Kluyveromyces lactis: one gene and its partner. The protein of the gene in region 1 interacts with the protein of each later gene in a pairwise test. Links are inferred from orthologs where the notes say so. Each region holds a gene or a part of one and is shown in the gene's direction. Other genes may lie near its edges.

Region 1 (3,363 bases):
TTCTTCAAAAATGATGAAAGTTTTTCCATTGATGATTTTAAGGTAAAGCTACAAAGATTCAAGAGTGTGAATTTGGATGATGGTTATGAAGCTGGCAGTACCACGTCCAGTTTTAATGGATCATCAATTGCCTCGTACAATAAGTCGAAAAGGAAAAATAAGTCATTTTCAATTTCTACCATGGATGACAAATCGAGTGATATTGGTGACGCGGGTGATACTTCCTTGGATCAAAGCAGTGACGGTGACGAAGAATCAACTTCAATAACCAATATACCTTCATCGCCACGATTAGGTGATCACGCCGAAGCTGCTGGTCATGGAAGCCATCAGTTTCCGGCTACGGATAAAGACTTCCTGTATTACGAAGATGAAAATATGGTCAAAAGACAAGACTCTAGTCATCTGGTGGGCCCGTTGAAATTTAACCATCGCTCTGTCAGTGCACATAACCATGAATATGATGATTTAATGGTTGCTGCCGTCTCTTCTCCTAAATTCAAAAAATATTCGTGTTCTTTCAACACATCATTTGAACCCGTATCTCCGATGAACAAGCTGCAGCTGCCATCAGTTAACCAGCAAAATTCAAAGACACCTATTAGGGAAAGCTCTGTCACTCCTCTGAAATTCAATATTTTTTCAACACCTAAAGATTTCAATAAAGATGGTCTGAACCCACCGGCGTCTACCAGAACTTGGCAAAGCCCGTCTCGTCTATTTGAAGATTATTATGCGTCATCACCAGTGTTTTTCAGAAACGTAATCAATCAATCTATAGATGATTGTATGATACAGTATGACACAGAAAAGAAATGTATTGATTCTCCCCGAAAGTTGAGTCTCAGAGATCAAACTTCTCCCAAGGAATCCAGTCAATCAGGATTAATTGATCACTCCAAATATTCATCAAACATTCTTTTTGGTGTTGATGTTTGTTCAGTGTGGAAAAGGGCGATTGCTCATTGTAACAGCAATGATGAAGTAGATAGCTATCGAGAAGAGGTAACAAAAAACGATTTGGACCCTCCTTTTGATGGGATGAACTAATGTTTGCTTTCTTTTTCATATAGAGTCTGTCGTTATCTCGATGACCATATTTTTTGTTTTTCTTCACAATCTGCCTGACGCTTGGGTTTCTTTATATGGCTGAGTTATTTGTCTCCTTTATTTCTTTCAATTTATTTCATTCCTGCGTTCAATTATTGTAGTGTACGCGCCTTTCTTTTATTCATTGGTGTCCTTTTTAAAGTATTTTTATTTGCAATAGTTATTGCTAATGTATGTATCATTATATCAATCATATTTAATTCTTACATTTCCTTCTAACCGATATTTACAATCAAAGGATATTATCCTGATAGACCATATGGCTTTGTTATTTGATCTGACTTCGTTTCATCGTTGTTTAATTAGCTCTGAATAGTGCTTCAATATTATGCCATACTTTGTAAATTACTAAAATACGATAAAAAGAAGCTAAAAGCAGATAATCCGAGTTACCTTCTGAAAAGTATCAAACATTAAATGCTGGAGTGCAGAGGAATCAACCAGAACTGTCATGAAGCTAAGTGTACCTGAAACTATATCGAATCCTCGTGATTTTCTTCACACGAGTGTTCCGCAACTTACTGACCTCGATTCACTTCTTCGATGTCATATCTGCAAAGATTTTTTAAAGGCATCGGTCTTGACGCCATGCGGTCATAGTTTCTGTTCCATTTGCATAAGAAAGTACCTTCAGAAAGAGAGCAAATGCCCATTATGTCTCAGTGACCTCACTGAGTCTATGCTACAAAAAGAGTTTCTAGTACAAGAGATTTGTTCAAGTTACGTGAAACTGCGAGGTTCTTTGCAGAAACACTTGACAATATCATCTCAGGAAGAGGAAAAAGATAATGAAATAATAATATCTGACGAGGCAGATACATCTGTAGGTACAAAGAGGGGTACTCCAGATAGCCCATCTTTATCTTCAGTAAGTACTAAAAAGAGAAAACATGATGGTATAACAACGTTGTTAATGAAAAAGAAAACGGATCATCCACAGCGGCAAGAGAAGAAGGCACAATGTCCTATATGCTCCAAGCACCTGCCGCTTTCAGAATTAGAAGGTTCGCATATTGATGAGTGTTTGAACAAAGGTAGTAGTTTGGAGAGATCGGATTCTTTTGAGATTTTGGATGAACGTACACCCTCCCCTTCGATGGAATCTTCGCATCAACCACTAGAAGAGAAGACTAGCCTGCCGTCTTCACATTTGCTAGAGGTAAAAGAAAAGAAGGATATCACGTACCATAACGAGAGGTACTTAAATTCTGGGCTGCTGCAGCAAAAGGAAAATAGATTACCAAGATTGGATTTTCAGTCTTTATCTATGACACAATTGAAACAGAAGCTTGCTTCTTTGGCTCTACCATCAAATGGCACCAAACAGCAAATGGTAGCGCGATACAAGCATTACGAAATGTTATGGAATAGTAATTTTTTAGATTCAATTGATCCTGTTGACGAAAATGAACTTAAACGTCGTCTATCCAGTTGGGAAGCTAAGCACAATACAGACCATTCTTCTGATAGCAATAGCATAACTAACCTTCTCAGGGGTAATAAACGTACTAATGCTATAAGTGCCATGATCAAACTTTTTAAAAGCGATAGATTTGATAGAAAAGGTTGGATGAGACATCACACGTCAACGTTTAAAGCATTAAAATTGGAAGCACAACGTTCCGATAAACTTGCAAAGATGAAGAAGGAAGAGCTCTCCCAGAAGAGTGATGCGAACTCAGAAGTAAGTTCGGAACCTATACTAAAGATTGATCAAACGTCAGAGAATAATTAATAGAATCTAATATTCTCAACTTTTCATTATTTATCGTATATCAGTATATAGTATCTATAATTCATCTTGAATGATGTCAGGAGATTCATTAAGGATATCTTCTCTTCCCTCTAAATTGCGACCTCCAGATTGCGATGGGGCTGATTGTACTCTTGTTTCCTCGACATTGCTATCACTTTGGGCACCCATAATATTTTCTTCGATTTCAGCGTTGGTAGGGTTTAATTCAGTGTCCAATATGTCCGAAGAGATTACAGGTGACTCAAAAGCTTCTATTGATTCAATATTACCGACAGCCTTAAGCTCGTTTAAGTCTGCAGCTGCAATTGAATCATCCATCGCCGATTATGAACTTCCCGATGTTGTTAATTCTTCGGAAACAGTAACTATGAATTCGCTTTCCTGATCCGCTGTTTTGGTAATGGAGGAAGAAATAGTAGTGCTGGATGAGAAGCTCGATTTAGCTTCTGTATCCTTTTCGGCAGATGAAATGTCTGATTCTTCGAGTTCTGTTTTAT
Region 2 (2,644 bases), on another chromosome or scaffold:
TAATGTGCACATATTTACTGCGCTCGTCCAGAAGCCCATCGCTTTTCGCGATTGGGCTTCTGGACTGAAAAGACGTGAAGTGTTACCCGGTCATTGTGTTTTCCGGGTAACGAAAATCGTTCGAGGCTTTGAATCAGCAAATTTACCGGCCGTTGCTATTAAGTCCAATGGTTTATACCCTTGAAGCCACCATTACTATACACCATTTAGGGTTCCTTTTTCCACCTTAGAGCCGTGGATTTGCATGTTATTGCGTGGATATGATGGTTCACTCATCTGCTAGACGAGTCATGGATATATAAGACACGCATAAGCCAGATGTCTAACTAGATGCATGGAAGAAAGGTTGGAAGGAGCCGTTGGCTGTTAGGCACGTGACCCAACATTCTATAATGGCAGCGTCAGTTAAACAATCAGGTATTCTTCCGTCGTATGACGAAGCAGTCGGACAAGGTTCGTCTACCGGTGCTTCTCGGCATCAAGAGGCATCAAATGATGAACCAAATGATGAACCAAATGACGAATCAAATGATGCGTCCAATGATATACCAAATAATGCCACCAATTCCACCACTACCAGTAGCTGCAATACCGGTACTGATATCGACCAGCTTCCCTGGACGTATCCTCCATGGTATTACTGTAGAAGGTGCGGGAACACCGGTGTAGAGACCAGGACGCAACGCAGGTGTAGAACATGTTGGTCAAGATTCAATAGAAGGCAGTTTCCAGCAAGACGTGGTCTTATACTCACAGTTGTGCTCTTAGGTGTAGCTGTAGTAAAGCATTTGGGTAAACATGTCAGCAATGCCAGCCATGCCAGCCATGCCGCCCATGCAACGGATTAGGAAGAGATTCTACATAACATGTACACCCAGGTAAATAATTTAATTTATATTAGCATTGCAACGCCCATAGTCAGATACTCCTAACCATATGAAGTTGCTTGTCTCTCTCAGGTGTCTGTTGATTGATGACAGATTCCTTTGTCAGTAGTATGAGATCGCCAGAGCAGAGATATGAGTTTGTTACCCGGATATTTGTATATATGGTCCGGGTAACATGAACTGATCAAGGCTTTGACTTTGATGCCCATTAGAACCATTAGTAGGAGCATTGGCAAGAGTGGACCCTTGTCTGTAAGTCCGCAGTTACTCACTGGCTGCATCCAGTAGTTATCAATGGCTAAAAGCCCAGTTTAGGATCGGGATTCGTCCACATTGCAGCCGTCGTGCTATAGGGTTTCCTCATTTTAGGTGCATCTGCCAAATAAATCACGTATATATAAAAGATCAAGATATATAAGGGACATATATTTAGTCAAAGAAAAGTGTATGGAGAACGGGATCGGGATCAGTAAAGAACAGAGATCAGAGAACCAGTCACTTTGAGAATACTTCAATGAAATCAGAATCAGATATACAGCCAGATGAGCATCTTCCGTCGTATGATGAAGTGCTGAGACAAGATACTGCTGCTGCTTCGCAGCAGCAGCAGCAGCTCCCACCAAACCCTCCACCACGTCCAACACAACCACCAGCAAGACCGCCCCGGCCAAGCAATGCCATACCAGCGTACCATCATTCCACTAGTACCTTTTCAAGCAGTACCAGTACCAGTACTGGCAATAAGAAACTACCCTGGACGTACCCTCCAGGATATTATTGTAAAAAATGCGGGAACACTGGCACCAAGATCAAGACTCAACAAAAATGTAAGAAATGTTGGTCGAAATTCTACAAACCCCCACCTGCACAACCACCACGTCCAAGTGCAGGGCCAAGACCTGCGTTCGTATACTCTAATGTCACGATGCCACCACAGAATTTCGTCATAAACTCAGCACCTATCGTTGTGCGTCCCGGTGACAGTCGCATAGGAGGCATGATGTGTAACAATTGCAATGGGACTGGTAGGGTACGATTCTTCTTGGATAAAGAACCGTGTCCCGTATGCTACGGTCTTGGCAGGATTCTTACTGGACCAACCTACTAGTTTGATCATCTGATTCGCCCAAACTCTACACTGTTTAAGTAAAATTGTACATAATTAATTTCTATTCATTTCATGTTTGTCCATTAACAACATTCAATAGCAGGGTACTGGCTGAGGTAGCACATGATAGAGTAACTAGTCATGTCTAATTGCTGCTTCTCATGGTACGGTGTTTCCACAGTTTTACTTTTTTTCCTTGTATGACAAAAAGTGAAAAATTTCGATGAGTTCGAGTTATAGGAAACAAGAGGTATAAAGCGTACCATATGCATTTGTTCCATTGTAAAGTTTTCGATTTTGGGTTGGCTCTTTCAAGCTTTAACTGATTGGATAATTCAGTGAAAGTTTGTCGTTTTGTGTGTTAGTTTGTGCGTACGTGTCTCCTTCTGTCGGCTTCTCTCAACAAGTCCCGTTGTCTGACCAGTATCACATATTTATAGGGTCTTTCTTTTGCATGGATTAGTAACCCATATCAGGTAACCCATACAGCTAGCTATATTCAATAATGGAAAACAAACATATCTCGCACGTCTCTCAGATTGAAAGACGTGCTACTCCTTTGAACATTCGTCCAGCTTCGCCTTATACCTTAAATCCTACTGTGGAAAAAGACGGTTTATCATGGCCTAGTATTGGTGCTCGTGAAAGA

What was found.
Region 2: the proteins of RAD18 (region 1) and KLLA0_A09757g interact in a two-hybrid assay, tested with the Schizosaccharomyces pombe proteins (2 studies listed by BioGRID). The link is inferred for Kluyveromyces lactis from reciprocal best matches to the Schizosaccharomyces pombe genes rhp18 and hua1.

Annotation. Positions count from the first base shown.
Region 1 is NC_006039.1:765,329-768,691, reverse strand, and holds RAD18 (E3 ubiquitin-protein ligase RAD18), read left to right. Parts: upstream 1-1,561; coding exon 1,562-2,845; downstream 2,846-3,363. Other genes in the region: HCM1 (Hcm1p), read left to right, coding at 1-1,050; GTPase-activating protein SED4, read right to left, coding at 3,191-3,363. UniProt on the Schizosaccharomyces pombe protein: E3 RING-finger protein, member of the UBC2/RAD6 epistasis group. Associates to the E2 ubiquitin conjugating enzyme ubc2/rad6 to form the ubc2-rad18 ubiquitin ligase complex involved in postreplicative repair (PRR) of damaged DNA.
Region 2 is NC_006037.1:854,757-857,400, reverse strand, and holds KLLA0_A09757g (uncharacterized protein), read left to right. Parts: upstream 1-1,401; coding exon 1,402-1,995; downstream 1,996-2,644. Other genes in the region: KLLA0_A09779g (uncharacterized protein), read left to right, coding at 393-848; FOL2 (GTP cyclohydrolase I), read left to right, coding at 2,501-2,644.